Mytilus edulis: one gene and its partner. The protein of the gene in region 1 purifies or fractionates together with the protein of each later gene. This does not show direct contact. Links are inferred from orthologs where the notes say so. Each region holds a gene or a part of one and is shown on either strand. Other genes may lie near its edges.

Region 1 (17,431 bases):
AATTTTCATCAAAATTCAAATATGGGATCAAAACTGTATCATATACCCTTAAATAAGGAGGAATGATGTTTTCCTTTCCCAACTACAGCTATTGTAACAACATTAATCATGGCAAAGCCCACAAATAATACATTTATCATAAACACAGAACGTGTGAACGACAGTGTCCAATGGTTTAAAGTTATATGGTACTTACATCTAATGTCTCTGGGTCTGTAACTTCAGGTTCCTGAAACAAACGTCTTGCCTCCTGCAAAGTTAAAGCTTATGATTATAATCAAAATAAGGACTACTTTAATATGTGCATTAAAAATCTAACTAAAATTCATTCTGATAATTTCTTATGGACACACAAAAATGTATTTGATTTTATTTGGGAAGCAATTTTAGGTTTAAAGTTGAAAATCTCTGAAAAAGCTAAATCTTGTAGAACTACTTTTTTCCCCATAAAAACTGGTATAGACAAATGAATCTGGGCATATGCAAATTATGTGATTTACTTTTATGTATATTTGTTTTAAGTCACAAATGGCAAATCATATGTCCTTATTATTAGAATTGAATGATAAAATCATTAAGGTAAAGGTGGTTTGAAGCTATAACATACCTTGAACATCCAATCTTCTGGTACTGTGTATTTCTGTAAAGTAAAATAAACGATATGCTTAAAGGACAATTTAAAAATATGTACAGCTAACAGATGCTACAAAAATGTACACATATTGAAAAGGAAGACAAATTAAGCCTATAAGATCTCATTTCATACCAAATTAAATTAATCATCTCAAGACACCATTTCATCAATTTGAAACAATTCAAGTGCATCTCTCTAACCTCATCATACCACAAAAAAGTCAGTTCCTTACATATACCAAACATAATGCTATTTTCATGAAACTTTTGTTCAATTTTGAGATAAATCAAGTGGCATTACTGTAAATAAAATTGTAGCAAGAATGAAAATCAAACTTGGCAAGCAGGTAAAGCAGTAACTTTTTTGCCTCCAATATTTTAACAAAGAGAAAGATAACACCAAATTGTTCATAATCATCAAATTTTATTTTCCAATAGAAAAACACATTTTGATATTTTTTTCTTTTCTAATATAATTTTTCAACATACCAAACTTTATTTATCTTACACATGATTATTGACCTTGACCTTTAGAATTTTAGAATTCTAATAGAAAAGATTTTATCTGATGTAGCATCTTGGGAGTAACAACTTTTATACTTAAAAAGCTGAAACTTTGTTAGTGTAATTTATAATTTGTTTTCTGAGGTTTCAGTATACGACTAACAAAAACTTGTTAATATCTATGTCATTTTGGTCTCTTGTGGAGAGTTGTCTCATTGTCAATCATACCACATCTTCTTTTTTTATATTAGTTGTTATTTTGGCCATGTTACCTTGCTGTCTAGATGTTTTAGGATTTCTTCAATACTATGATGCTGTTTGACTAAATCATATGCCCTCTTTGGTCCAATTCCTCTGATGGATTCACAATAGTCACAACCAAGTAAAATACATAGATCAATAAACTGAAATTAAAAATTTCAAGCAATTAAACAACGTGAACATTTAGAAGACATGAAAAACTCTCAGCTACAAGAAAATATAAATTTAATATTCAATTCTCTAGTGAATGAAAATTTCAATGACCAAACAAAGAGACTACTTTACTCTAGCAGTTGTCAGACATATCTGAATGCTCAGCATTACAATGCAATGAAATTATTTTTAAATAAAATATTTATACATAAAATATAAAATCCACCAAATATTTTAAATACCTCATCTTTATTCATTCCTAATTCTTCCAAAAGTTTCTGATAATGAAATTCTTTTATAGGTAATTTTCTGAAATATAGATATAACATGTAGATAAATGTACTAATGAAAACAAATGAAAATATTACAAGCAATTAGACCTTATTCTGACGCCATAAGAAAATGTTATCTGCAATTACAATAACAAACCACTAAATATCCGTTACCCTGGCTAAAAATATAAAATTCAAATTTATATAAGTCATTTAAAATAATTAAAGTTTATCATGTATTGTGGGCATGTCATTTGATGCCTGGTGCTCATACACTTTTACAAGGTCAACTCTATTTCCATTCTCCATGTTTGTCTCTTTATTATACAACACAAAACAAATCAGTGTTATTAATGGTAAATAAAATAAAATATAATTAATGGTGTCATGTCTGATCAATGTAGATAATTGTTAAACCCAACTATCTTTGAGCACATTTTTTTTATGTTATTATAATGTTATTGTCAAGATTGACTTAATATTTGCCCTAAAAGGACGGATATGTATGACAAAAACAATTTATGAAGAGTACCTTGCTTCAGCAACTGTTAGATTTCTCAGCTGTACACTGGTTCCAAACGTAAGAGCATCCATATCTTCAGTACCAGTAGCGTATACTTTACCAGCTTTAACTAACACAGCACACTGGGCTTCAGCTTCACCAGGAGCCTACAATACAATTATTATCTTAGACAATACTTCATAAGATTGTCATAAATAACATTGAAAGTCACATCAGAACAATTACTATCATAGACAAACTATGCTCATATTTTATTTCTTTGTTTTAGGTCATGGGGATTTGTTGGTTTTCCATCTAGTCAGGGAATAGGGTTTAGAAAACAACCCATATACCGGGTATATTGGAATCTAAGCTGATCTCTTCAAATATATGATCTAAGTATATACTGTCAGTATAAACAAACTTCTATAATAAATCAAGCTGTAATTTTTTAGTTTCTCCCTATTTGTTAGATCATATACATTCTGAGTTTGCTCCGGTCTTTTCTAATGATTATATAACCTTTTTGGGGGATCTTCAATGACAAACAAATACTATGTGAGATGGAAGTTGTAAATAAAGGTTGAAAAATAAGATACAGATATTTATTTTAAAGTTTCTGATGATTACCAAATTATTCTTTAAAATAGTGTTGGGTATCTGCTGGAAAGTTCCAATTGATTAATTCGAATAATCTGATCACAAAGTACTTTAGAGCTGTCAATTATAAACACTTTTATAACTTATATGCAAATAATGCAGGACTTATCTCTCTATATAGTATTTACATTGATCTTATATTAACTCTACCTCTATAAATGGGACTCCCATCAACTTCAACAGTTCTTTACATTCTTCATTATGCTGCTTTGAAACTTTCACCAGACGACGATTGAATTTTTCTATGTTTTCTTCATCTCCTGTAAATTGTATTAACCTTTGTTAAATGAATAATTGATTTACATATAAAGAAGTCTTTTTTTTAAACAAATATAATTATAAAGTTAAAGAAATTGAGAATGGAAATTAGGAATGTGTCACAGAGACAACAACTCAACCAAACGTCAGAAAACAGCCCAAGGCCAACCATGGGTCTTTAACACAGCAAAAATCCTGCACCTGGAGGTGAGGTTCAGCTGGACCCTCAACATAATGTTTACATCATGCATATATATATACAAAAATAACAAATGTAGTCAAATAGAACTGATGAAAGAAAAATATTATTCTTTCACAATTTTCAACAACTATAAAATGACAATTATTAAAAATATATCTCAAAGCAAAGGACTTATTGTAACTAGTACAAACTAAAAACAATGTTAGATTGGTGTGTATTAATGAAGGAATACAACAATGATCTTAAAAGAAAAACTGGTTTGCTACATTAATGATACTTATAATATTTTTCTCTAAGTTTTTACATTCTATGAAACTTTTTGTGATTATATTACTTAGATTTAACTAGTATTACCTGCTTCCTCTGCTTTCTCTAATGCTTTCTGTGCTTCCTCTCTTCTTTCTTTCCTCTTTTCTAACTGTAAAGCAACATGCATATACATTTTAACAAGGTATAAGCTTCAGTAGTATAATTTAAGATTAGTACTTTACACAGAACTATGTATATATAAAGTAATGTTAATGAGACAACTATACACCAAAGACCAAGGAAAACAACAGCTCATCATGCGGTTTTTAACAGTTTGCAAAGCAAATTGTGTTTTTGATTTTTGAATTCTTAAATATAATTTACTTTACTTTTTACAATTCACATAAAAAAATAGTGTTTTCCTTTAAGCATGGGCGTACCCTGGCCTCTTGTAATTTCTACTTCCATATATATCAAAAGAATTAAGAATGAGATATGCTCATTGTTGAAGGTGATACAGTGACCCATATTTCTTCATTTCTATGTCATTTCGACATTTGGTAAATTGTGGAGAGTTGTTTCATTGGCAATCATACCAAACAATTCTTATTATAAATAATTGTAAAACTTGGTATCTATCCAATGCATATTTTTGCAAAATTTTATTTCGTAAACAATGAATTCTCTCTTAATTTAAATGTCATAACTTATAAATAAACAATATCAAATATATAAATATTATACTGACTAACCTCCCCTGACTTCATGTCTGGAGGTTTGCCATCAAATACATAGACAGGTTTTATGCCATGTTCTAACATTCTGATTGACCTGTAGAACATACCCATCAGATGACTGTAATTGAAAAAAAACATATTCTAATATTTTTTATATAAAATCTGAGAAATTGTAGCCTGAATTTTCATTCTTTTTTTAAATTAACAATGATTAAGGCAAATTTTGAAATTTACTCACAAATATTTATCATCCTGAAAACAACTAATAAATTGTTTCATCTACACAACAACCAGTGTGGATTTTGTTTTTTCCACCTGCCCACAATGGGAAGCCCACCCGTGCCCACTCCAGCTATAATCACTGTTTTTGTAAAAATATTGATAACAAATGCTTATCTGATGTCCACTGTGGACGGATGGACAAAGCAAACTCCACCTGAGCTGTAGTGTATGTTTTTAATTCATAATGAGAAAAATCAATTGAACTTGTATCAAAAACAAAGAAATTGATTGCCTGATACACATGTACATCCTAATGTTCACAATTGTAAATATGACAGCTTTTGTAAGGAGATTCACAACTCATGTGATAAAACACACACTACTACTAGAAGATGTCCGCAAAATCGTGGTACAATTTGGCAAGTGTTGAAACAAAGAGATTTAAATTTCCCTGGGTGTATGTCAACTGTCATGCGCAAAAGCTTATAAGACACAGATGGATAACAGTCTCCGATTTTTTAATATTTCTCAAGAGTTGTCATTTTCTGTGGAAAAAAGTATTGTTTCAATGACAAATTTAGAAAGTACAAAACACTACATATCATGCCTACAAATATTTCCGATTTTGTATGGTTTTGATGGAGTAGCAGCTCCAGTAAATCGGTCACTTCCTTTAGTAGTATAGAATAAAATTGAGAATGGAAATGGGGAATGTGTCAAAGAGAGTCTCAGACAACAACCCAACCATAGAGCAGAAAACTGCAGAAGGCCACAAATGGGTCTTCAATGCACATGATGCAGCAAGAAACTCCAGCACCCGGAGTCCAATTTAAGTTTTGATTCAATTCCGTAGGCATGAATACCCTTATTAAGGAATAATATTTAAAATTTATTTCCATCTATAGAAACTAACCTTGTTGTTTCACCATCTTCATTCATCAACTGGCTGCCATCTTGTCGGACAGCTATAAGAAACTGGTAGATACACATGGAGGCATCAATAGCAACTTTTCTTCCTACAAAACAAACAGGTGTTCAGAGTTAGATGAAATAACTTTCCAAAGAGCTATTGCAGGTAAAAACATGAAGTATATTTTAAAATAAAACAAAAACATGTACTGTGTTAACATCTACAAGTGAAGAGACGTGACAAAAATTCCATGTTTTGATAAACAAAGAGCTGATAGCAATATAAAGCCATTCTGTTTATTCCAAATTAACTTGATCTTAAAGGCATTACAAAAATTATTGCACATTTAAAGAACTGTCAAAATTGGTTAGAGCGTTTTGGAGTTAATGTTTGACATGTTGGCGACGGAGGGACTGACGGACAATGGTATACCATAATGTCCCCTTAATGAGCATATAAAAAGACGCCAGCTAAAGCCAGACTGCTTTATACCTTTATACCTATATCTTCGGGTCCTTAAAATAAGCCAATGGCTTCTACTGACCCCTGATCTTGGAATGTAGCAATGCAATTTCTCATCGAAAATGATCACATTATAATATATTAATATATCTTATATTTATAAAAATAGAACTTATTCAGGTGTGCACAGCTCAACAATTAACATAAACATATAAATTTATACGGGTTCCAATTCTCGCCATTCAAAGTCTTCTTAAAATCATTCAAAGTCTTTGTTAAATCTCCATTTCCATTCTAAATTTTATTTGCTTGAAGTGTTTATAATTTATTGTGACTGCCTATTTGAAAAGTATTTGCATTAAGTCCAGGTCACACCTTAACGGAGAGCGTGAACAGTCGCCGAACCAATAACGTTCTTTCAAACCGTTCATATCAATTAGACATCCGTTTTTTATCTGTTACGATGTCTGTTCATTATTGTTCATTTCCGTTCCATGTCTGTTCAAGGTCCATTTTATCCATTGATGTCCATCCTCTTTTTTGGAAAATTTTGAGAATGTTCAACTGATGCAGTGTCCGATGTACATCCTGCAGGTGTCCGTTTTACACGGTACTCGTCCGTTCTGTGCCAGTTTTGAATCCCTCACCTGTCCATTATTCATCCGTTAAAGGTCTGGTGCACTCATTCCCCATCTGACTTCTACTGGATGTATAACGGATAAAACGTATTGTGAACAGACCTGCATGTTTTTAATGAGCACCATATTGAATGAATTAATTAGTACTTGGGTGGTGGGTCTTAGACCCTTAGTCTTTTTGCAGTCTGCGCATACCCACAAATAGTCAAATTGCCGTATATAGGCTACGATTACCCGAATCTGGTTTTATAATAAAATGGCATTGGATTGGGAATGAAACATGAAATATATACGGAAACTATCGATAGTATGGGGATTTCCATTTATATTTCACGTTTCATTCCCATTTTGATGGCATTCTATTATAAAACCGGATGTAGGAACGCGAAGCTTACAAATGGCAATTTGACTATTCGTACCCCTCTCAAGTAAGCAGAGACACTGCCTTGCATATTAACAATGTAAATGTAGATGTAGATGCTTTACATATTGCTTAAACATGGCTCCAGATAGTTCCACCTATATGAAAATGTTGTATAATTTGAGATCTTACCTGGATTGGAATAAAAAGCGATAAGGTATATGGCAGATTGAAAATAAATAGATTTAAGGGGAGGGGGCAATTAAATCTAGCTCAACAACACTGGTCTCTGGTCAACAAATAGTTAATACTTTTTTTAAATGAATCGCACCAAAATAATTCTTTATCTCTTGTTCTTTCATACAGCCAGGAGCATGATCACCAAGCAATTTTGTCAATCCTAAAATTCCCATGATTAAAAATAAGTGATGAGTTAGCAGCTTTCCCGCCAAATAAACAAAAACAATGATTTACGGGAACCAGTTCTTTCTAAATATTTACGAATAAAAACCAATGTTAAAACTTGTTGTCTGATTCTTTTATATTCAACATGGGAATGCAGTATAATTATTTGATAAAAATAAAACAATTTTGAATGAAGAAATATATTCGATTTTTTGGCTAAAATGATATTGCTGGAAATTTGTACAGTATATCTGTTGACCAACAAAAAGTTTATCAAAATATAACAACACAACGTTCTGCATAAATAATTAATAATAAATAAGCTTTATTTAGAGTCGGCAAAGTATACAAGCAGAGACAACATAAGCTCTAATGAGCTCTTATGAGCTCATTTGCAACATACAGTCTCTTCTTTTTTTATATTTTAACCGACATACAAGACATTTATATCAATACAACACACACAGGCAATAAATTACCGTGACAGCACAAAATGAAGCACTAAAAACATGTATATTAATAATAAGCAGAATATAAGCATAAAAAGCTAGGTATTAAAGCTAAAAGCATATAAGTGTAAACTAGGCATCATTAAATGCTGGTAAAATAAACGGCAGCATACAATATCCCCAAATAGGGTATGCCGATCTAACATGTCTAAATGGTAAATAATTTTAGCATCATATATTAAATAAAAATCTGCACAAACTGTGCAATTACAGCCATTTCCATTCCATGACTTCCTACTAAAAAGCGCCCGGAAGCGCCCGGGAAAAGAAAAAGCGTCCGGGAAAGAAAAAAAGCGCCCGGGAGAATAAAATAATAATATTTTATAATAAAAAATGTTTTCCTGAATAAAAAAATAATCATTGCTTGTTTTGTCCTTAATATAAAAGGGGATACCTACGATGCTACATCTAAAGTGTTGTTGCACTTTTACAATATTTATCTGTGTTTTTGCATTTTTCATTTTGATATCGTTTTTGCAAAACATGTATTTTGATGTCTAACATTTTATAAATTTTTAGCATACAATGATCCATTATTACCTGTCTTTCGAAATAGTATTCATAAAAAATTATAGTATTGTTAAAATTGTTTTATTTCAAATGTCTATTATTTGAATTTGCAAAATACTTGTCAAAAATTTAAAAAAAGAACAATGTGCATTACTTATTTCATCGGCACAAAGTTGTCTCATACCAATAAAAAATCTATATATTTTCCCCGGGCGCTTTTTTCTTTTCCCCGGGCGCTTTGTCTTTACTCGGGCGCTCCCGGGCGCTTTTTTAGTAGGACCCTTTAAAACATATTTAAATTGGCTAAAATAAGCAATTCTCTAAAATCATCAGGTAAACTATTCCATAAAACAGCAGCTGTTTATCTAAAAGAGTTAATAATCAAGAATGTTCTCAATATACAGCTGAAATTTACCCCAAGGAACTTACTTTGAATAAATTAAATGTATACGGTAATATCTGTCCTTTGCTGGATTTAGATATTTCGGTTTTAAACGGGAAACTCCACACTAAAATTTACGACAAGAAAAATCTATTGTTAATTTTCCATTCTAAGATGTGATGTTCCTTTGACACCATCTTACGGTGTTTATATTTCACAGCTCGTTCGCTATGCCCATTTATATTGTGACGTTTTTTATATTAACGAACGCAATCTATGTATTACTGGTAAATTATTAAACCCGGGATATCGTTACCATAAATTACTTAAAACCTTTACTAAATTTTTCCATAAATATAAAGATTTGGTTTTGAAGTTTGCACATCCTCATTTTTACGGAAATCAGTGTTGTTAACCGTGCCCGGAAATTTAGAAATGATCCATGTAAACTTGTCGCTCCTTTAAATAAACTTATTCTAAAAGGTTACCTATTCAACACTGTAATAAGATCATTGAATATTGTTTTTATTGGTATAAATATTGATTTTGTTATCAGAAAATTAAAAGCTAACTAAATATTACTAGTATGTTACCCCTAGTTTTTGGTGGGGTTCGTGTTGTTTATTCTTTAGTTTTCTATGTTGTGTCGTGTGTACTATTGTTTTTCTGTTTGTCTTTTTTATTTTTAGCCATGGCGTTGTCAGTTTGTTTTAGATTTATGAGTTTGACTGTCCCTTTGGTATCTTTCGTCCCTCTTTTATATACATATACATATTCATATTCAAGAATCTGCAATCTGTCAATACCTGTAACTTGACATTGCACAAGGTCATGTTTTTCTCTAGCTGTTTATGACGTCTTTACACTAAATCCATTGGATGTTGGATGTGTACGGATTGATAGCTTAGTCTTAGATATAAAAAAGAAGATGCATGATTTTTTTATTAGTTGTTAGTGGCTTTGAACTAGCTGTCCGATAACTGCGAGTACTCTCAGATCTGTACATTGTGTCTTTTTGTGTCTGGATGTATAAGTACCCGGCCACGTCCACTTGTATTTTTGTCCATCTGATGAGTTAAGCCTTTTTCAACTGATTTTTATAGTTCGTTCTTATGTTGTACTGTTATACCACTGTCCCAGGTTAGGGGGAGGGTTCGGATCCCGCTAACATGTTTAACCCCGCCATATTATTTATGTATGTGCCTGTTCCAAGTCAAGAGCCTGTAATTCAGTGGTTGTCGTTTGTTTATGTGTTACATATTTGTTTTTCGTTCATTTTTTGTACATAAGTAAGTAAGTAAGTAAGTAAAACTTTATTTGGATTCGGCATATTGACAAACAATACAAACATAAGCTCTAATGAGTTTTTCACCGAATATAAAAACATATGCAATAACAAATAAAATAAGGCATGCAGCATGCAATAAATAATAAAAAGCAGCACCAAAAATTAACTTTAAGCAAATAGCATATACATGTAACTTGCAAACTACCAAAACATATATATATATAAGGCCGTTAGTTTTCTCGTTTGCCAATGAGACAACTGTCCACAAGAGATCAAAATGACACAGAAATTAACTACTATAGGTCACCGTACGGCCTTTAACAATGAACAAAGACATTACCGACCGTGCGAGGGCTGAAAAACCAGTCAATGTCGTTAAACACTTATATCATCAAGCCAATACCGCATAGTCACCTCATAAAAAGCTCCGAAATGACAATGTAAAACAATTCGACAACCACTGAATTACAGGCTCCTGACTTGGGACAGGCACATATATACATATACATGTATATCATCATAGATACCAGGACTGTATTTAGAATATACGCCATACGCGCGTTTCGTCTACAAGAGACTCATCAGTGACGCTCGAATCCCAAAAAGTTCAAAATGTCAAATAAAGTACGAAGTTGAAGAGCATGACCAAAATTCCTAAACGTTTTGCCAAATACAGCGTAGGTAATATAATGTGGCGGGGTTAAACATGTTAGCGGGATCCGAAAACTCCCCCTAACTTGGGACAGTGGTATAACAGTACAACATAAGAACGAACTATAAAATTAGTTGAAAAAGGCTTAACTCATCAGATGGACAAAAATACAGTGGACGTGGCCGGGTACTTGTACATCCCACCAACAAAAGACACTAGGAACAGATCTGAGAGTACTCGCAGTTATCGGACAGCTAGTTCAAAGCCACTAACAACTAATAAAAAAAGCATGCATCTAAGACATAATTTTCAATCCGCACACATCCAACATCCAATGGATTCAGTGTAAAGACATCACAAACAGTCATAGAAAAACATGACCTTGTGCAATGCCAAGATACAGGTATCGACAGATTGTATACTAAACAATACTAAACAAATATATGAAAATGCATGAGTTCAAAATTATGGCATTTAAATGAAGACATATGTAATGCTTTACTTTGATATTTACAATATACAGATTAAACTGTTATAGCTTGAACTTGAACATTATATGAGTGTACTTGGTGTCGCAGTTACTGAACGCTAGTTCAATGTCAATAAAAACTAATAAAACACAATATGTTTAAGACTAAAATATTAATCATTACACACCCAACATCCAATGGATTTAGGCAGCAACCATTTGATTTTCGGGGGGGGGGGGATATGGATTTTTTTCCTGGACATTACATGATTACATATAGTGGCAGCTGAGGGTGAAACAAAAAAAATATTTCTCAGGGTCAAAAACAAATTTATTATTTTCTCCAAAAGCAGGAAACAAACTTTTTTTTCCAAAAAAAACCATAGCCCCCCCCCCCCCCTAGAAAATCAAATGGTTGCTGCCTTAGTCAAATATATATAGGAAGCGATAGCTGGCATTGATTAGTTTGTCATAGTGTTCATCTTCGATTAACAAGGCATATATATCTTTATGTATTGCGTTATAGTAATCTCATTTGGAATCGATTTCTTGGGGTATTTGCAGTCAAAGTGCCAATGAACAATAGATTAGTCAATAGTCAATTTTGTGTTAAAAAAAAATTAAAAAAACAATTAATTATAACGTTTAGTGATGCTCAAAAAGCTTTTGATATTGTGTGGCACTCTGGGCTAATGAGAGAGATGTATAAAGGTGGAATGACCGGTGACAATTGGTTACTATTCAATGAGTGGTATAAGAACTTGGAGTCCTCTGTAATGTGGCAAAGTATCAAATCAAAACCAGTTCACGAATTCCAGGGTGTTCGCCAGGGTGGAGTTTGGTCCCCCACTGCCTATAAGGTTTTCATAAACACACTACTGAAACCATTTGAAATGAATGGTCTTGGTGCTCACTTGGGTTCTATTTACTGTGGAATACCCACTGTTGCCGACGATGTTACTCTGATTTCCAACAACCCGTATGAGATGCAAACAATGTTAAATGTCTTGTCTGATTATATAAATAAACATCGCTACATAATTAGTAGCCAGAAGTCATGTACTCTACAATATGGAAGTAAAACTGAACATTTATTTACACTGAATGGTCAACCTCTTCAAAATTCTGTTAAAGCGACTCATCTTGGTATAGATCATGATGTCAATTCTAAATATGGTGTGAAAGATTGTGTACCTAATAGAATTCAGACAGCTAGGAAAACAGTGTATGCCCTCATGGGAGCTGGGCTCCATGGTTTGAATGGACTTAACCCTAAAGTCTCTATGCACCTGGTGAAAATTTATGTGCTACCCAGACTTTTGTATGGATTAGACTCCATAATACTTTCTGTCTCCGATATGAAATTACTCTCCGTATATTACACCAAGCTTTTAAAGCAGATCCAGCATTTGCCAGAGCGCACTTCCACTAGTGCTGTCTACTTACTTCTCGGTCAAATTCCAGTTGAGGCTGAATTGCATAAGCGTATGCTGAATTTTTTCGGAAATATCATCAGAAACCATGGTTCTGTCGAGCGTGATGTTGCTATAAGACAACTGGCTGTAATGCCAAGGGATTCAAATAGTTGGTTTGTCAAAATTATTGACTTAACAGAACAGTATGGCTTACCATCACCACATGATCTTATTAATGTGCCTCCGGGGAAAATCGAGTGGAAAAATATTGTAAGAAAATCTATCTCTTCGTATTGGATTGATCTTCTAAAATCTGCTGTAAAATCAAAGTCATCTCTAAAGTTTTTAAATGTCAATAATATCACTCAAGGAAAAACCCACAATGTCTGGGATAGCTGTGGAACAGAGCCGTTTACTTCAACTATGGCCAGCATAAAAGCAAAAATCATGTGTGGAACTTATACCTTACAGCATGACAGAGCTAAGTTCGACAGATCTGGTGGAACTAATTCAGCATGTAAATTATGTGGCAAAGGAAGTGAGGACATTAAACATTTCCTTCTATATTGTGAAAAATTGAGAGACATACAGGAACATTTCCTAAATATTATACTAGTAAAGTTATATGACTGTGTTGATATGGAAGTGTATAATGAAATATTATCATCAGAAGACTTACAACTCAAAGTTATTATTGACTGTTCATCCTTTGAATTCCTAGACGAATCCAACATCTCTAATATTGAATGTGTATCTAGAGGTTATTGTTATAGACTACATCAAAGAAGAGCTTCGCTACTTCAAATAACCTAGTTATCATCATTATTCAATTGACAATAATCTTGAAACTGTGATTAATTCCATGTGAAGAACTGTTTTGAACTGTGCAAGTAGAAGTATGAATAAGCCAGGAGTGGAGTCATGTACATATTTACCTTAAAGTTTATATATTAAATTTCCCATGATTTAAAGTAAATTTAAATTCCCATTAAAATATATATTAACTTCCCATTAAAGTATATATTAACTTCCCATTTATGGTTACTATTTGTATATACCTGGTTAATATAAAATTCATGATGAAGCCCATAATAAATCATGTAGTTAAGGTGTGATTGAGCCCCTGTATATAGCAACTCCCAAGTTACACCGTATGGTGGTGCGCCTGACAGAGGCGGAACTTACAGATTAGGTAACAGGTAACAGGTAACAGGTTGCGGTGCGCTCTCTTTTGTTAGATATTCGGTCTTAGGCTTTACCAGTTGCATTAAAAATATGGCTGAACTCCGAAAACTTGGATTTATTGCTACAATCGAAGAGAATGATTCTTTACATCTAGCACCAGAAAGTTCTTCTAGCGAAGATGAGGTATTTACGGAACAAATATTTATAGATATAGTATGGATAAAAAGTTTAGAATGCACACAATCCACTGGTACGACAATACAGGATCTGAAAAATCAGATTACTGTCACAGAACAGGCCATGTGGTTTGAATTTCGAACCTTGAATGACATCTGTGGGAAAGATTCGTTTAATCTCAAATATTCCAGGTTGTATTCTTTTCAATTAAATTGCATTGAAAGTATGTAATTATTGAAAATTCTGACATTCAACTGCATTAAAAAAGGGGGGGGGGGGGGAGAGAGGGGGGAATTTCAATTACATGTATGCATCTAAATCTACATGAGTACAAGTCAAATCGGCACCCATAGAAAAATTCTAATTGGTACCGGGTTAAATCGGCATATAGTCAAATCGGCACCTATCTAAAGTCAATTTGGCATCCAATAATATTTGATATTTATATATATGAATAATTCTAAAAATGTATAATATTTTGGGGGGGTTGCCTGGTTGATTCTATCATGCAACCCAATTACATGAATTGACATTTTTAAAACCATTCAAACATATCAAATGAGAAACCAACAGCCTGATTATGAAAAGAACCATAAACATAAAAAAAATATGAAACAGGCAAATTCGTAGCGTGGCAGGGTTAAACATCCCCTATACATTAGACAGGGATACGATTGACTAACACAAAAAAAACCTGTGCAAAACAAAAAAACAATCAAATTGAAAACAAATGGAAATGGTGAGGCTGCTCATAGACCAAAACTGTATTCAAATCATTACAAATACATGTACTTAAATATAAGTTATTACCATTTTAACTTTTATTGCTGCTCTTCATCTGGACAGAAGCTGGAAGATTTTCAAAGATGTTATACAACAAAAAGACTATTGGAATATGTCAATGGTTAAAGAATATGTAACTAGAAAAATGTAGAATCTGACTTTCTCATTATACACGTAAACCATATAAACATGTACACATTTAACTCTTTCAATGTCATGTTGATTTATTACTCTCACTATAATTTTGATGACTTTCTTTTACAGGCTCCAGCAGGAGAAAAGGTCAAAAAGAAGAAAAAATCAAAGATAAATAGTTTTAACCAAAGTTTCTCCTTTACAGATCAGGTAAATTTAGTCTGATTAACTGTAATGTCGTGTTATATACATGTATCATGTATATTATTTACAAAAATATTCTTTGCCAGTTATAAAACATACTCAGGTAGTTAGGGTATTGTTGTACAGTTTGTTGCTTGTTAATCATGTAAGATAGCATATCAGTATGTGACATATCATGAAAACACAATACCGTAAGTTAATATTTGTCTGTATTTTAACAATGACATTAATAAAAGGAGACACTATACTGGTGTATACCTGTCCTTCTTTTAATGTCTCTATCCAATACAATCATGACAATATATCATACCTGCCAACTGTCACTATTTGCAGGTGATTTCCCCCATGGAGGCTCCAAAATGGAAATTTTAAAGCTGTAGGCTTGTAAAAGTATAAAGAAGCCAAAAAACAACATAGACATGTATTTGTAGGCCCCCTTTATGGTTTTGTAGGATTATAAGAGCAATCTTGCACTTAAAACCCCCATGGGCATTTTGAAAAGTTGGCAGGTATGATATATCAGTTGCATTTTTATCTGACAGTACTTAACTACAATTCAGAGCTTCCTGAAAGATTTTATCAAGCTCCACATGAAATGAGCATGATATATAATGTGATTCTTTTTTCAGATCCATTGCTCATTAACTTCATGATTACACAGTACATTAATTATATATTCTTACACACAATAACCGTAGACATGCATGACATTTTTGTTGTATTTTTGTCTACAGAAATTTTGAAACTTTACAGTACACAAATGATATTCCATATATAAGAAAAAAATGTAAAATTTCTATTAATAATTTTATATTGTAAAGAATTAAAATATGCATATGTATAATATTGTCAGTAGTATAGTTTCATTGGGGCAACTACAGAGTGATGCATGTATGTGGTATGTACTTAAAAATATGCCAAAACACTTCTGGTTGGAAAGGGTTCAAATTTAATGCCTTTATGTATCTAGTGTGTCTTGCTCTCTGTGCTTTAAGGGCATACGATACAGTTTTGGTCCCGCATTTAAATTATGATGAAAATTTCCATATAGGCTATTTTTTTACCTGATTAAATCAAATATGTAATAAAAAATATCCCTTCATTGTTAATTTTTTAGTAAAATTTCAGATATTTACTCAAAATTTGTGGACATATTTTTCCTTTCGACAGAAATACATAGCTTTTTTGTTTTAAAAGATAAACACAAGCTGTTTTTTTCTGAATTATTTGTAATTTCTGTTTCATATAAATGGCCTATAAATTTGTGCATTTTATTTTTACAAATAACTCATTCATCAAATGATCCTGAATGTAGAAAAAAATGTCAATTTTTCCAGTACATTTATCCAATTTTAAAAATTTGCACTATTTACATTTTCATGAAAATTGGTACAAATAATCTTCATACGAAATCAAACCAAATGTCATTTTAAAAAAGAGGGGTCCATGAACTCGTTTTCAAGTTAAATGTGTTCAAATGATAAAAATAAGTCGAAAAATGAATCTTTTCTCAATATGTCACAGTTTGACGTTGTGAAAATAACATTTGACGTTAGTAACGTCATTACCTCCCCTGTAACTGTATCACATGCCCTTAATCAACCCAAACAGCTCATTAAGCAGTCATGCATGAAATATTTGCCCCTGAACATTAAACAACATTAAAAAATCTCCCTTTTCATAAAAAAAATGCTGGAAACTCTTGTTTTACACAGGCTTTGTCAGTTTGTCTCACAAACATTGAGGTGCTTGACCCTTTGCTGAATACTTTACTTTTTATCACTAGAAACACAGGTAAAGCTTTGAAACTGATTGTATTAAACTTTATTTTCAACAATTACATCTCAATCTTTCAACTTATGAAATGAATTTATTTTTCTTTAACATAGTTTGATCCACAATCAGCCTTTAATTTTGACCATGCCCTTAAATTTGCCAAGAGAAAAAGGGAACCCTCCACACTAGATGAGAAGATTGCCAAAGTCAGAAAAAGGAATAAAAAAGAGGTAAGAATATTATTTCTTCTTCCTTTTAAACCATTATTAAAAGCCTTAATAAAAAGTTAAACATCTGTTATTTCGGTTTTGTTAACCAAAAGGAACAGAGCTAGAGATCAGTTTTTGATGATATGAAATGAACGCTGTGGAATGTTTATAAGAACTATTCAACCCAGACCAAATGAGGAAGATGTAATCAGCTATATGTCACTATACAGCCTTCAACCATGAGCAAACCAATATTGTATAGTTACATAAGCTATAAAAGGCCCCATCCTGACAAAACATTTCAAACA
Region 2 (16,995 bases), on another chromosome or scaffold:
TTTCTTTTCATAACGACGTTTTCTCCAATTTTACATATATTTTCTTCATATTCAGTTTTGGTGTTAGTCGAACAGGAAATTTAATTTTTAAGCCACATCCATTTTTGTCAATCTTATAATACCAGCTCTCACTTAATGGAAGTTTGGAAAAGTCATCTGCGCAATACAATATCACATCTTTGTCGGTTTGAAAGCAATATCTGAAAATGTCCAAGTCAAATTGTATTACGGTAGTAAGTAAGTAAGTAAGTAAATTATTTATTATAGTGACATGTGTTTTTCACAAAATATTATATAATACAGTGAGATATAAAAACAATAATTAGAACACCCGACCCTTTGGGTCTATAAGTCACTTTAAACATAAATTTCAATGGTACGACGAACAAAAATAAATAAAATGTTATCGAAAATTTTCATATAAAAAGTTTTTTCTCTTACTGAAAGCTTGCAATAGGTAGTATCCCTTCTGTCGTTGGGTCTAACCCGATCTTGAACTGCATCCTCGAATGTATTGGCTGCTGAGAGTAAACGGTGATGGTCAATTCTCTGTGGAAAATACTCGGGAGAGAATGTTGATCAATGTTGGACTTGGATTTCCAGGTTGTCTCAGTATTTGGACGGCCATGCCATTTTACAAGATACAATACACCCCAAAAGAGAAACACAGACGTCAGGTATTAATTTTCTTTATTATTTTGCACATTTATAATCAGACCATTTAGTTTTTTTGTTTGAACTGTTTTACAATTGTCATTTGGGGGGCATTTTGTAGCTTACCTTTGGGTATGGTTTTTGCTCATTGTTGAAGGGTTTACGGTGACTGACCTGTACCTCATTTGTACTCTTGGGGAGAGTTGTCCAATTGGCAATGATACATGTGTGCAACTCTTTTCAAACGACCTTGTATATCCAATGATTTGCGCCTGATATTTTAAGATACAAGTATACGATTGCACCAATTCCAAAATAAAATTTTAGTTGATTAAGCCCAGTGGCGGATCCAGAACATTTCCTAAGGGGGGCCCGCTGACTGACCTAAGAGGGGGCCCGCTCCAGTCATGCTTCAATGATTCCCTATATAATCAACCAAATTTTTCCCACGCCCCCCCCCCCTTGGATCCGCCTATGTAAGGGACTGATCATGACTGTCGTTTCGTTTCAATCTGTGCCGTAATCCCGAGAATGTATGAAAAAAGTCACAGGAAAAAAAGTCACGGAAAAAAAGTCACGGAAAAAAAGTCACAGGAAAAAAAGTCACAGGAAAAAAGTCACAATTTATATTTTGTATGAAAACTGTCATATGATCTGCACTTAAATATTGGTAATGACTTTTGTCTGTGTGTGGTTTTTTTCTGCTGTTCATGTGCAAGTATGGTTTTGTGTTTTTTGTACCCCATATCCTTTTGTTTTATTATAAAATTTAGAATGTAAATAGGGAATGTGCCAAAGAGACAACAACCCGACCATAGAACAGACAACAGCAGACGTTCACCAACAGGTTTCTATAGCTGTGTTTTTACCAATATCATGAGAATCCTTCAATTACATGTTAAACAAACAAAGCATCCCCATTAACAATAATTATGTAATTACAACATTTATTGACAGTGACTGTTGAGATTAATTAGTGGCTTCTTGTGGCACCTTTCCCTTTTTTGTAGACCTTTCACTTCCTCTTTTGGAAGGAAGCCCTACCCATGAAAAACAACTAGGGCTTATCATGAATGAAAAGGAAACAAATGGCTTATCCTGTTTGTTTAAGAGTTTGTTTTGAAAAAGAGAACATAAATTATTACACTTTTACCATTATCATTTTTTTTAGTGTATTTCTTTTTTTTTTAAATGATGAAAAGAATATATTTTTTTATTTTATTAAGCCATAAATAAAACGAAATCTGTTAATATCGATGTGCGCTTTAACTATATAAATTTTAAAAGCTCTAATTTAAAAATAATTGATCTGATACACTTTTACAAGAAGTATTATTTTTATTTAACAAAACTGCAATTTTTTTAATTATTTATTTCATACAGCTGATATACAAAATCACTTTTGTCATGTGCATTCCAACATACTTCTTAAAATACATTTTATATACTTCTTTCAAATAATTTTATTAATTGTGACTTTTTTTCTGTGACTTTTTTTCTTGAGACTTTTTTTCCTGTGACTTTTTTTCCTAGAGGTTTTGTGACTTTTTTTCCTGTGACTTTTTTTCCGTTGACCAATCCTGACAGTGTTCACTAGGCGAAGTTAAAGTAACAGCAATATAACGGGTAATGAGTTTATAAGTAACTTGGCGTAAATGAGGCCTGTGATATATCGTCAGTAATATCATTTTCTACAAAGTATTATTAAAAGAAAAATACGTATAATGAATGACTGCAATGAGCAAGCAGACAATACAAATCGACAAAATATAAATTATTATTAATTTTATCATAACTTACTTTTTTTGGTGTCGATTTCTTAACAATAATTCTTTCAATTTTCAACGTCTCCTGTAAATCAACCCTGAGTGGTGCTGATTCATGGCTGGAAAACGTCGAGAACTCTTCAAAACTCACTTTTTGTTCTCCGCTCTTTTCGATATTTGACATTGTTGCAATCAGTTATAATTAACAGTTCTATGTGTAGTAATAGTCTCAGCTTAGTATTTTTATTGATTATTCAGACGATTACCCGTGCTCAAAACTTTATTTTGAATGCAGAAAGTCATTTTTATACTTTGAAATATATATTACCGAGAAGAGGATATAACTCTATATTATGTCACAGGAAATACTTATCTGATGCCAGTATTTGACCAAAGACGGCCACTCTTGTTTATTGTCACTGGTGTCAACCTTTCACAGTATCAAGCTATATACAGCCACAGGGTAAACGGACAGAAAGACACAGGACAAAAAGTCACAGGAGTAGTAGGGACGGTTCAGTTTGAGGCACCCCCAAAACACAGGGCGCTAGGGCGCTGACGTCATATGCGCATGCCCCGCCCCCAATATGATATATGGGCATATACTAGCCCTAATGACGTCAGTGTAAGTAAGGAAGATGAGTCATACCGAATGCACGCCGTCCATATTTGGTCATGACGAGGTGCGACCATGAATCATCAGGATGCAAGATCAGGGCATGACTCACTACATGATAATACGGGCTATATATCAAAACGGAAGCACCTGATGTCGGATTATGACTCTTGGACCACCATATGATGAATCCCATATATGGAAAGCGACCACAATACCCTATGACCATATATGGAAATTATGACCAAATTTGGTAAAAAAACTTATTTTCACTCAAAAATCGAAATAAAATACATGATCATATATGGAAATCGACAAAACAACCTATGACCATATATGGAAATCATGACCAAATTTGGTAAAAAAACTTATTTTCACTCAAAAATCAAAATAAAATACACGATCATATATGGAAACCGACCAGATACCCTATGACCATATATGGAAATTATGACCAAATTTGGTAAAAACTTTATTTTCACTCAAACATCAAAATAAAACACATGTCCATATATGGACAACAGGTCACGTGATCGTATCGAGGAACGTTAACTCTGGTACAAAACAAGGGAAGCAACTCTGTATATATATCTCTCTCTTGGATTGACAATTCAACGTTCGAGGCAAGGTCACATGATCATATCGAAGAACTCTGGTACAAAAAAGGGAGGCAACTCTTCAAGGTGTGAACGTCAATCACCGATTAATCGTATCGTGTTCGGGGCAAATAGAAAAAAAAATACCAACGCAGATGTCAGTTTCATATACATTTATTACATTCATTCGTACAATGCAAGCAGTTTGTCGTCGTTACTCATCAAGTCACTAGGGGAAAAATCTTTCACAATGTCTTCCATGCTAATGTTTCTATATCTCATCTTCACGAAATGTACACAATAGAGTCCGCACGTATCGGATGATCCCGGTTGCACTTGAGTCGTACTGAATCTGTATTGAGGTCCATTGGCGATGAGCACGTTCCTGAAGCGACGATGATAATACTCCGGAGAACGTCCGAGTGAATCGAAGAATTCTGCCGGTCCCGTGGATGGAAAGTGAAACGCCACCCAATGCTTCCCCGGTCCATCGCAGGTATCCGTGTTGACGACATAGGTCATCGGTCGGTGCGAGATGTCTGCGGGTAACTCTTCGGCACAACGTACGTCCACCGGTAACCCTTCCAACGCTTCTTCTAGTTCTGCGTCGCTCATGGGAAGTATGTCTTCGTCCGTGTCGTATTCGGAGGTATCCTCGCTGCTGTCGAGCCTCCTCGCCTTGGAGATCCTTTCCTCCTCCTCCCTGCTGCACGCATGCTCCTCCAGTCCGCGGCGGTGTACAAAGACCAGTCCGCATTCTTCGCAGGCGATCAGATCGTTCGTGGTCGTTTCTTCCGTTTGGGTCGTCTCCTCCTCCTCTCCCGCCCCCGTCAGGACGTTCGTGCGCAGTCTCTCCGTCTCGGGGGTCTCCGGTTTGACGTCGACAAGGAGATAACCGTGTCGTCTTCTCGTGGCCTCGTCGAATTGTCGCAGGAAATGTTCGGATCGACCCGGGTACATCTGTCGTGCCAGGGTGGCCACGGGCTGTCGATCGATCGGATTGTCAAAGAGGACCATGTAATGACAGTTTCTTCTCTGGGTGGGGTCCTTTCCAAAATACAGGTTCTGGTAGATGGCGATCACGGAAAGATTTCGATGGTGACTTCCTTCGGTGAAGAGATCGTTGATGCGGGTGTCTTTGCTGGCGAGGGTCATCAGATCGTCCAGGACCACCATGTTGCGCACTCTCGGATCGAAGAAGTCGTCACTCTCCAGGTCGGCGGGGATGCCTCTCACAAACTCCACCGGCGGGTGCACGCCGTCTCGTACGACGTCGTAGAGGGGTTGCCACCTCTTGTACAGCCAGACGATTCTCTGCGGTGCCGGTGCCGCAAGACGTCGGACCCGAAACGATCATAGTAAACGGGTGTCAAAACAGGAACGGACCGGACGGCGGTTGTTCTACCACCGCAGGCACGGGCGGCGGCGGCAGCTGTTCTACCACCGCAGACACGGGCGGCGGCGGCGGCGGGGCGGCGGGGCGGCGGCGGTATTGTTCAAAACTTTATAAGAAGGAGAGAACACGGGCTTCATCTAATCATGGACGAGTTTTATTTATTCGTCAATAGCGGAGACTCGCTCGATCTCTTTCCCGAGAATAGGGGAGGTCAGTTCTCAGTACGTTTACCTCGATCACACTTAACGAATGGAACGTGGGAGTGTGCCCTATTGGAAATGACGTTCGTGCCTACTTTCGAAATACCCACGCGCAGGGTCTACCTATGTTCCGACGTGGTGAGGGAAGAATCGTACGTCAGAGACACGTATTTACCACTACTTCAATCCGTAGCAGTGCGACGGGACGAGACGATGGAAGTCGTCTTCGAGAGACCACTCTACCGCACGACGAGAGGAGGCGAGGTGACACTATTGGAAATCACCGTCAGAGACGATAGATTACGAGTGTGCCGATTCAAGGACGATCACGTATTCTGCTTGCTGCATTTTAGAAAAAAGTTATAAGAGGATAGCGGATTCGATTTCGAAGTACATGTATAAACATGGAATGTCCTACCTGCCATAGACGGTTTTCCAGGAGAGATGTCATGTTGAGACATTATCGCAATCAGCATGGTAATGGGGATACGCCGCCGCCGCCGCCGCCCGTGTCTGCGGTGGTAGAACAGCCGCCGCCCGTGCCTGCGGTGGTAGAACAACCGCCGTCCGGTCCGTTCCTGTTTCGACACCCGTTTACTATGATCGTTTCGGGTCCGACGTCTTGCGGCAAGACGCATTTCGTGGCGAAAGTCCTCCGAGAAGCGGAAGCGATGTGCGAACCGGCACCGCAGAGAATCGTCTGGCTGTACAAGAGGTGGCAACCCCTCTACGACGTCGTACGAGACGGCGTGCACCCGCCGGTGGAGTTTGTGAGAGGCATCCCCGCCGACCTGGAGAGCGACGACTTCTTCGATCCGAGAGTGCGCAACATGGTGGTCCTGGACGATCTGATGACCCTCGCCAGCAAAGACACCCGCATCAACGATCTCTTCACCGAAGGAAGTCACCATCGAAATCTTTCCGTGATCGCCATCTACCAGAACCTGTATTTTGGAAAGGACCCCACACAGAGAAGAAACTGTCATTACATGGTCCTCTTTGACAATCCGATCGATCGACAGCCCGTGGCCACCCTGGCACGACAGATGTACCCGGGTCGATCCGAACATTTCCTGCGACAATTCGACGAGGCCACGAGAAGACGACACGGTTATCTCCTTGTCGACGTCAAACCGGAGACCCCCGAGACGGAGAGACTGCGCACGAACGTCCTGACGGGGGCGGGAGAGGAGGAGGAGACGACCCAAACGGAAGAAACGACCACGAACGATCTGATCGCCTGCGAAGAATGCGGACTGGTCTTTGTACACCGCCGCGGACTGGAGGAGCATGCGTGCAGCAGGGAGGAGGAGGAAAGGATCTCCAAGGCGAGGAGGCTCGACAGCAGCGAGGATACCTCCGAATACGACACGGACGAAGACATACTTCCCATGAGCGACGCAGAACTAGAAGAAGCGTTGGAAGGGTTACCGGTGGACGTACGTTGTGCCGAAGAGTTACCCGCAGACATCTCGCACCGACCGATGACCTATGTCGTCAACACGGATACCTGCGATGGACCGGGGAAGCATTGGGTGGCGTTTCACTTTCCATCCACGGGACCGGCAGAATTCTTCGATTCACTCGGACGTTCTCCGGAGTATTATCATCGCGCTTCAGGAACGTGCTCATCGCCAATGGACCTCAATACAGATTCAGTACGACTCAAGTGCAACCGGGATCATCCGATACGTGCGGACTCTATTGTGTACATTTCGTGAAGATGAGATATAGAAACATTAGCATGGAAGACATTGTGAAAGATTTTTCCCCTAGTGACTTGATGAGTAACGACGACAAACTGCTTGCATTGTACGAATGAATGTAGTAAATGTATATGAAACTGACATCTGCGTTGGTATTTTTTTTTCTATTTGCCCCGAACACGATACGATTAATCGGTGATTGACGTTCACACCTTGAAGAGTTGCCTCCCTTTTTTGTACCAGAGTTCTTCGATATGATCATGTGACCTTGCCTCGAACGTTGAATTGTCAATCCAAGAGAGAGAGATATATATACAGAGTTGCTTCCCTTGTTTTGTACCAGAGTTAACGTTCCTCGATACGATCACGTGACCTGTTGTCCATATATGGACATGTGTTTTATTTTGATGTTTGAGTGAAAATAAAGTTTTTACCAAATTTGGTCATAATTTCCATATATGGTCATAGGGTATCTGGTCGGTTTCCATATATGATCGTGTATTTTATTTTGATTTTTGAGTGAAAATAAGTTTTTTTACCAAATTTGGTCATGATTTCCATATATGGTCATAGGTTGTTTTGTCGATTTCCATATATGATCATGTATTTTATTTCGATTTTTGAGTGAAAATAAGTTTTTTTACCAAATTTGGTCATAATTTCCATATATGGTCATAGGGTATTGTGGTCGCTTTCCATATATGGGATTCATCATATGGTGGTCCAAGAGTCATAATCCGACATCAGGTGCTTCCGTTTTGATATATAGCCCGTATTATCATGTAGTGAGTCATGCCCTGATCTTGCATCCTGATGATTCATGGTCGCACCGCGTCATGACCAAATATGGACGGCGTGCATTCGGTATGACTCATCTTCCTTACTTACACTGACGTCATTAGGGCTAGTATATGCCCATATATCATATTGGGGGCGGGGCATGCGCATATGACGTCAGCGCCCTAGCGCCCTGTGTTTTGGGGGTGCCTAAAACTGAACCGTCCCTACTACTCACAGGACATAAAGTCACAAATTTGGTAGGACAAAAAGTCACAAATAATTTGTTGACAATTGTTTGAATATATAATAGAAATATCTTGAAATATTTACTTTTTAATACATATATTCAAATTAAAGTTTAGGAATTGTGTCATTATGCTTGAAAAATCAAGATTCATTTAATTTTAATCATGCAAATGATATATTTTTTGGCACCATGAAGCCATTTAAGTGCCAAGTCACTTTGACATTTTGTTTTTTTTTAACAATTATTTGATTATCTTTGATATATTTTTGATTAATTTTGTTTACAAAGTTGGTATATATATACAACAGTTCAAGAAAAATACAAAAATATTTTTGTAGAAATAAGCTTTTTTTCTTTAAAGAAAATAATCAGAAAAAATGAATTGTGACTTTTTGTCCGGTGACTTTTTGTCCGTGACTTTTTGTCTGTGACTTTCTGTCCTACATTCCGCCACAGTAATCCCTACGTGTGACTTCCGTTAACTAACGAAATTAAGTAGGAACACGGAGTTATAATTTCATTATACATGTAATATCTTCAATAGAATACTTCCATGCTCACACTAAGCAGAACATTCTTACAATGATGCCAAGGTTATATAATTTGTCTCTATATTTGCAAATTAGTACAGTTGCACATATCCCAATGACAGTAACATATATTTACCATACCTTATAATGTTATAATCACAAAAGCGCTTAGACTTATGCATGCACAGACTTTTTTGAAGAGATATCTGAATGCTAATCGTAAAAAAAACCTAGCCAACTTAAGATAATATAAAAAACAGCTATATCAAAACATTCAAAATCAGAACACTGTTATTTCAGTATTAATAGTTTTCCCTCCTCTTTGTTTTTTATAAAAAAAACACCATTTGAACTCCCAGGGGTGGATCCAGCCATTTTAAAAAGGGGGTGGGTTCCCAACCCATGATAAAGGGGGGTCCAACTATACGTCCCCATTCAAATGCATTGATCGTCCAAAAAAGGGGGGGTTCCAACCCCCAGGACCCCCCTCTGGATCCTCCACTGACTACCTTATAACACAATACTCAAAAGATGAAACCAAACAACATGCACAATTACAAGGATAAATATATCCAAATATTTTCAAGTATTCGCATAGAAAAAAATAAACCCTGCCCGCCGGTATAACGTTCTAGTGTAGTCTTCTATATATACGCCGTATGATTGGGTGAACCAAAAAAATGGAGTGGAGAAGGTTTGTAACGTAAATCAATAGGTTAAACTGTTTCAAAAGATCGTACGAAATTTTAAAGGATTGATATACCGGGGCGGACCCAGCAATTTTGAAAGGGAGTTCCCTTCTCAGGACAAGAAGAGGGGGGGGGGGGTATAGTTTCCATTGATCGTCAAAAAATTGGGTCACAACTCCCGGAATCCCCCTCCTGGATCTGTCACTGTATGGACAAGCGGTGTATAGAAGCAGAGACGTATGAGACATATAATACATGTATTAATTATATATGTCTCTGATTGAAGACTTTAGAAATTAGAATAAATTTAAAAGTATAATTTGTACAACTATATCCCGTATTCTGAGATGACTATATACTGTGTTACATGTATATATAGTAGTCTCAGTCCTATTCAAACATTTTTTAACAACTTTTTCCCTTTTTAACAAAATTACTCGTCTAATTATGTGTTCTTGTTTATCAACATAGAATTCCAGTCTATTTTCTTAAAATAAAGGGTTTTGTGATCAGGTGATCAAATCTTTCCTTTACTCGCAAATTTTACACTCTCCTTGAATGAAGGAAAATAAATTCAATTGAAAATGGCGGGGAAAACAAAAAAATGATTTTTCTGACAATTTTAACCAAATTTATCTGACTATGGCACTTTCAACGCAACAGCCTGAAAATGATGATAGATATGTACTTTTAGCTAAAATAGACAATGCGAGAAATGTATCGAACATTCTGAAAGCCATTCATTTTAAAGAGGTAAATGAGAGATCAAAGTTAACTGTGAAACACAAACAACACACAGTCACAGATAGTCACTTCGGCATGTGGTCAAATCCGTCGGTTTAAGCTCATTAGAGCTTATTTTATGTCCTATCAAATTTTCGACTTTCTGCCTGTGACTTTCTGTCTGTTTAGTAGTAGTGTTTACTTAATGAAAGTCCCTGGTGCTACATTGACTATACATGTAAATGTAGCCTTTTGTAGGTGCTGATTTGACCAGGTGTCGATTTGACTTTTCATTAGCCATTAGGTGCTGAATAAACGTATTTACACTTTGGGTACTCAGCTGTAAAATTTGTGCTCAATTGACCTTAGATCTACTCTGAATCAATGTAAAGAAGTAACATCAAACATTTAATCGGTACTATTCTCAGGGAAAATATACTACTTCATATTTTCTTTACACAACAAACTCATTGGAAAATAGTAAAATTTCCCCTCAAATCGGTTAAATGTGTGATGTAACTTCTTTATGTTGCTCTTAATCATGTTTAAAATTGACTGAGTACCAAGATGTCGAAAAATAATATAAACTGGAGTCAAAAGTCGGTAATATAAAAATAGTCTATTAACATTGAGAAATCCATCAGTTGTGTGGCCACTGAACATAAAGGAAGCTCAGAAATCTTTCCCATTTTTAAAAATAAAGTATAAAGAATATCATGAACATGATGAATATTGTTGGAATGTTAAAAAAAATTTTCTTTTTCTGAGACATTTATATACCTTTAATACCAATTTATACATGTTATAAGTTGAAAGTGTCTAGCAACTCATGTTAGTTGTTGATATGCTTACAGTCACACAGTGGCATTAAAAATGTTTTAATAAAAATTAATTTTAAATCTGTTCCTTTACATCAGTGATTATTGATAATTACAACAATACACATTACAGTGTACATGTAAATGTATATGGACCATAATTTGGTATTCGGCCTTTGGTTTCTTTTTGTATCCTTTTTTATAAGTTCTAAAACTTTAACTTTTATTCTGTGGGTTGTGTTGGTGTTAGAATAGTATTAATGGAACAATTGAGTTTTTCAAGAAAAAAATAATACATTTTGATTCACCGTTTACGTGACAGGAAACCAAACAGGAAACCAATCTTTATTTTCTTTATTTTGCACAATATATTTCAAAAGACATAAATGAACACCATTAATAGTGTTACTTGCTTCATGTTAATATTTGAAATCTATTTTCAATGTTAAATTAAAGTTTTTTTAAACGCGACAGGAACAATGAGGAAACCAAAAGAAACCGAAAGCATTTCTTTAGTTTTATTTTATTGCAAAATCTGCTTAAAATAATCTGAACAGTAAACTTTTTCTTAAAATCCATCTTAAATGTAACAGTATTATAAAACTCCTAAATATGTGCTTGTTTTGAAAACAATTAGTACAATTTATTCAGAAATTTCCATATTTTCTTCATTGATACAGGATACCATAATCGTTGTATCTTGATGTTTTAGCCAAAAAAATGTATTTATATTTGGTTTTGAAATTCCAGTTATATACAATTAATTCCAAATCATTGGCAATGTAAAATTCTTTAAATCCAGTAAAGAAAAAAACTCTAACTTGGAATTAAAATCTTTAAAATAGGCACCATGTGATATTTGTGACCTGTACACCATCTACATGGTTTCCACATTTTAACCTACTTTAGTGGGCTAAAATCAATAAAGTACTTCCTTTCAAGTCATGCATGGTAAAAGTTTACTTCTCCTTTGACAAGTTTATTGCGTTTCTGAAAAGTGTTTGCAGAACATGAATAAAAAAAAATAATTAAAAATTGTGACAAAGATACCAACTTTGTACATTCCAAGTGTAACGGTATATTAACATGTATTTTTTATTAAATTATCTTTATTCACCTAAAATATCCATTAATATTTACTGCTGAAACAAAATCAATCTAACGAGCATCGGCACAATGATAAGAGACGTAATGTCTATTGAATTTTCAAAGGACCCTTTACATCGTTATCAGGAAACAAAGTGTGTTATAATGTCTGTCAAATCTGAAATCGATTTTGTCAAGTCATTGGGCATTTATTTTCACACAATATCGTATGTAACATTATGCACATAGGAAAAATAATAGACCCCCGGCGCAATCTCTTTGAAAATTGTATTTTCCTTTTTTAAACAAGACGAAACAAGTCTACAGATTATGTTTGCTAACATCCCGTTGGAAACAAAAACAATGTTTAGACCTAGTATTTCATACATCCGGCCGTAAGGGCGTGATCACATGTAAGTCACATGTTTCACGTATGACCGGAAATGATTAGAACTTAACGACAAAAACAATTTTAATAAAAAAAGGAAATAACTGGACTTCTGTTTCGTTTGAAATGTAACGCATAACGATAACGACATTTTCTTACTTAATTATTACGAAGAACAAAACTAGAATGTAAATCATCTCTGATTTACCTGTTTGAACATCTCGCGAGAGTTCATATTTGGCTACATATCTGCTCTGTGCCCATTTTGCTGTGACAACCATTGAAAATTAAAAACTAAGCCAAAAACATCAGTATCAGTCATTTTTTAATAGCTATGGGTTGTATTTATTCAAAAAATATCATCCATGGATAAGATAATGTCTCATCATTAATTTCTGCATAGTTCAATAGGTCTTGCACGTTATTTAATGTAACATGGACAGACATGTTCTTATTCAAGGTTCCAAAGAGTTTTATTAATTTAAAGTGAGTAATTGTGAACTGTTATCATGTAAGAGCAATGTGTCATTCATAAAAAAAATCATAAACCATTCAAAACAGTGAATTTTGCTACCTTAAAGGTGTAGAATCGCATAAAATTTAATTGAAAAAAATCATCAAGCATTAAAGTTATCTTAAAAATACTTTCAGACTTGCAGAAGTATTGTTTCTTTCCTAATATTGACAGATCTACATATGTAGCATAATATATATGAGCAAAAAGGCAACTGATATGAACAGAAAAAATAACTGAAGGCAGTAAAATATCAATGGTTCATCAGCCAGTCTCATGTAACATGGACAGACGTCAGTTAAAACTTGTCAACCATTTAATTATTAGGGCATATAATGTCTAATTTTTATATGATTGTCTTTCAATAAAGAAAACAAACAAAAAAAAACTTTGCATTGCAATCCCATAATTAATAGAACAATGTACAATGTCGGAACCTTGACACCTTTAGATACAAATGGATTCTGTCGCAGTTTTTTAGCCTTTAATCGTGACAATTCATTAATGTTTTATATTTTTAAACAAGATTACACATTTTAGTTTTAATTCAATTTATTGATATTCTAATAATGATTAGTCATTGCATTGCAGTTCACAGGTCAATCTTCTTTGGCCCTTTCTTGAAATCATTGCCTGCAAAGAAATTTTGAAAAAAAATGTTTTGAAAAAGACCTGTTATACAGTAAAATATGAAATAAAGAAATAGCAGCCTGTTTTATTAATTTATGTTATTAGCAATAAAGTTAAACCAGAGTTTAAGAATCATTTACCAGAATATATTTTAAAACTACAAACTACATCTGTGCTTTTATTTTTTCAATGGTGGCCAACATTTAAAGAACACAAGCATAAACTCACTTGCATAAATATCCATTGAAAAGGCATGTTTACCTTATGGAAGCAATATGACAATTTTGCACATTTTATATGTTTATAATCATCACATAATCAGTGTAATAAGTGTAATAAGTCTTGATTAGAGATAGCTTCAAGATTTGTTCATTATCTGGATTTGCTCGGTTTAGCTGCAAGATTTCTTCATTATCTGGACTTAATCAGTTTGCTGGGGTTCGTGTTGCTTATTCTTTAGTTTTCTATGTTGTGTTATATGTACTGTTGTTTGTCTTTTTCTTTTTAAGCCATGGCGTTGTCAGTTTTTTTCGATTTATGACTTTGACTGTCCCTCTTTTACAGTTATTTGTATACTACTGACAAAGTCAAAAATTTGCATATTGTTAGAAAGAATTCTATTACAACAAAGCAGATTACATCATCTAAAATTTGCGTTACGAAATTGGAAACCAAAGTAACGCTAGTGTTCTTACACCTGTTACAGAAATACTTATAGTTCTCGGCATTTTCTTCTGACTATTCTTATTGGTCGATGTTCTTTATTATTTGAAAGCAAAAGTTACGAATGCCGGTGACGATTATCTATAAATCAGTCAGCGTTATGCACTTCGGAAGCGAAAAGTAACGCGAGAAACGACACAAAAATACGGTCATATAATCTTTAAAATTTGTTAATTTCAATTTTTTTTCTAGGGAAGAGTAGCATACACTTGTATGTTGATAAAAATAATGGCATCTTTAGATGTAGTTACAACTTTTCTTACAGTAATACACGTTTTTATCACTTTTCTATAGTTATAGGAAACGAGCCCAATAGCAAATTATGGTCCATATACAGTACACGTAGTATATCAACATTAGTAAGAATCAGAGCCAACAACAATATATATCATGTATATTGTAAATGCAGAATACAATAATAAAATTATATTATATGCATTCATTGTATATGTAAACATGATAAATTTATGCAATAATAAAGCAGCCATTAAAATTCCACTCAACAACAGGTCTTTCTAGAGGATGAAGCAAGTGTAGAGAGAAACATGCATGTGCACCTCATTTTAGCCTGTTGTACAAAATGTAGATCAGCATTGAAAATACTGTACTTGTGCAGGTGCAGGGACAAACCCCACCACCCCCTATTTCAAAGAAATTTCAGAAGTCTAAATTACTATGATTACACCCTAAGAGGACTAAAGTGTTTTGCCCTGTATAAAGCTTAAGTCTGGCTTTCCCATGCTTCTTTTAAATTATAATCAGGATAATATTAGAACCTTCTATTTTATGTTTAAGTTTTAAAAAGTTCTACGATTGTATGCTTAAGAATTTGAATGTTTGAAAGTTGGAGAATAAGAAAGAAAAGTGAATTGTCACAACAACCAAACAATAATTGTAGTCAGAAAAGTTGTATTTTTAACAAATTTGAATGAATAACTGGGATTATTTAAAGTTATTTCATAAAGTACTACATGTAAGAAATCAAAAAGTAAGTCATATATCATACATGTATTTGGTTTCTTTTTTTCAGTCAGCAACAGTGTTTGCCAGTTCTATGGGATTTAAGGTGACAGTTGAAGATTCTAAGTGTGTACAGGCCAATGCCTTTATTCAGGAAGCTCTGTTCCACGAATTTGTGATGAAAGAAGACCAGATCACCTTTAAAATCAATCTAACAGTGCTACTGGTTTGTATTTATACATGTATTAATACAGTACTACCCGTGACATTGTCTTAAGGATGTCGACCATAAAATTTATGGTGGCCATGGTCTACCTTTATGTTGATCAAATGTTCACCTTCTGTTTGTTTAATACACAACGTAATTATCGGATTAAATGTCCCCAGTCATGCAAGCTTACTGGAATGTGCCAATTGTACCAGGTGATTATTCAAATACATGTAGTAATAATAGGTGAGCCATCGCTGGTAAATCTTAATAACATGTATGTTCAAGGTGTCACAGTTGGTGCGTTTGATAGAATTCTGCATGAGCTGTTATCATAAGGCCTAAATTAAAATATTGTTTGTTTGCCCTTTTCCGACCATATGTTTTGAAACAGGGTAGGTAGGTAGGTAAAATATTTTATTTTTTTCCCAAAAAAAATAATTTGGCTCGGTATATTTTTTGTCATGGGTAGGCAGGTAGGTATAATATTTTATTTTATATTGCAAAAAAATAAGAAACCCTGACGGGTTAAAATGCAAACATAGTACATTGTATACACAAGTGACAAGAAACATAATATACAAAATCTGCATAATGTCATTTTTGTCTGTTTTGCTTTTGCTAATAAGTTGATGGGACTAGTAGTATAATAGTCCCAGGAAGTTTTGAAAAAAAAATATCATGTAGAATGTGAAGTTAATTCATATGCAAGACGACTTTGTTTTCAAATATCAAAATTTAGAGCTGTGCCGCATATTTTCAACGTGTATATGCCTGGAGCTTTGAAGAGTTTTAACTTGCACTAATATTCTGTACTACGTACCTTGTACGCTGACCTCTACCTAAAGGTTTTCTGTATATTATAAGCGATTACTTAGTCCTGGTAAAATATGTCCGGGCAGAGATACATTACTAGTAGAAAAAGTCCCTAGAGTGTTTAAATTTTGTGTGTGTCTGGGTTTCCAATAAAAATGCTACAAGACTTGAACTCAATTCTGAATCTGAATAAGTACGTTGCAGGGCCAGTATATATGGCATCAGTGGCAACGGGAGAGAGGCGCTGGAAAATTAATCCAACATTGTGAGAGCCACCGAAGTTTAAAGCTCTCAATTGTCTTAGCACACACGAGATTGTCTGGTAGTCTATTCCATTCGGGTACATATTCTACATCCGCAATTTATAAATGATCTGTTTGGAAAACTTGGGAGCTTTTACTGCCAAATATTCTCCACTTTACAGGCTTTTGCCACCTTTGGTTCATGTCAGATATAAATAATACAGCAATGCTGGTCGAAGGCATCTTTAACATAATCATCCTGATCTACGGATCACAAAAGGCCATCCCTACTGTACATAGAATACAACGTCCGTTTACAAAAAAGTTTGTACACACGTTGATAATTTTGTATAATTTAAACGAAATTTTTTGTAAGTGAACCCTGCTCTCCAAGTATAAAGATACAGAGTAACGTACGTCATATCCAGCTGCGAAAACGTAGCTCTATTGTCCTTTGATTTTTTTTTTTGCCATAGATCTATGGTCCGCAAATATCAAAAATCATCAAAAGGACCTTAAGAGCTACGTTTTCGCAGCTAACGTCATATCATCATGTTTTCTCAAAGCGTTCAACATCGATTTCAAACAAATGCTTTGAAACTCTATATGCAAGTGTTCATGTCAAACGCTCACGAGATACCAAACGGACTAGACCTTATACGGTAAAGATAAAACCCGAGGATTCCGGTAAAAAAGTTTTGACCGGG

What was found.
Region 2: the proteins of flap endonuclease 1-like (region 1) and cell cycle checkpoint protein RAD1-like purify together in Homo sapiens (affinity purification with western blotting; 3 studies listed by BioGRID). This does not show direct contact. The link is inferred for Mytilus edulis from reciprocal best matches to the Homo sapiens genes FEN1 and RAD1.

What each region holds. Positions count from the first base shown.
Region 1 is NC_092348.1:96,433,554-96,450,984, reverse strand, and holds the start of flap endonuclease 1-like, read right to left. Parts: upstream 7,509-17,431; 5' UTR 7,438-7,508; coding exon 7,356-7,437; intron 5,670-7,355; coding exon 5,567-5,669; intron 4,550-5,566; coding exon 4,447-4,549; intron 3,864-4,446; coding exon 3,800-3,863; intron 3,246-3,799; coding exon 3,136-3,245; intron 2,493-3,135; coding exon 2,356-2,492; intron 1,861-2,355; coding exon 1,794-1,860; intron 1,542-1,793; coding exon 1,410-1,541; intron 641-1,409; coding exon 608-640; intron 251-607; coding exon 197-250; intron 1-196. Other genes in the region: probable ATP-dependent RNA helicase DDX27, read left to right, coding at 13,930-14,022, 15,064-15,144, 17,028-17,144. UniProt on the Homo sapiens protein: Structure-specific nuclease with 5'-flap endonuclease and 5'-3' exonuclease activities involved in DNA replication and repair.
Region 2 is NC_092349.1:72,355,000-72,371,994, forward strand, and holds the start of cell cycle checkpoint protein RAD1-like, read left to right. Parts: upstream 1-9,738; 5' UTR 9,739-9,822; coding exon 9,823-9,933; intron 9,934-15,092; coding exon 15,093-15,248; intron 15,249-16,995. UniProt on the Homo sapiens protein: Component of the 9-1-1 cell-cycle checkpoint response complex that plays a major role in DNA repair. The 9-1-1 complex is recruited to DNA lesion upon damage by the RAD17-replication factor C (RFC) clamp loader complex.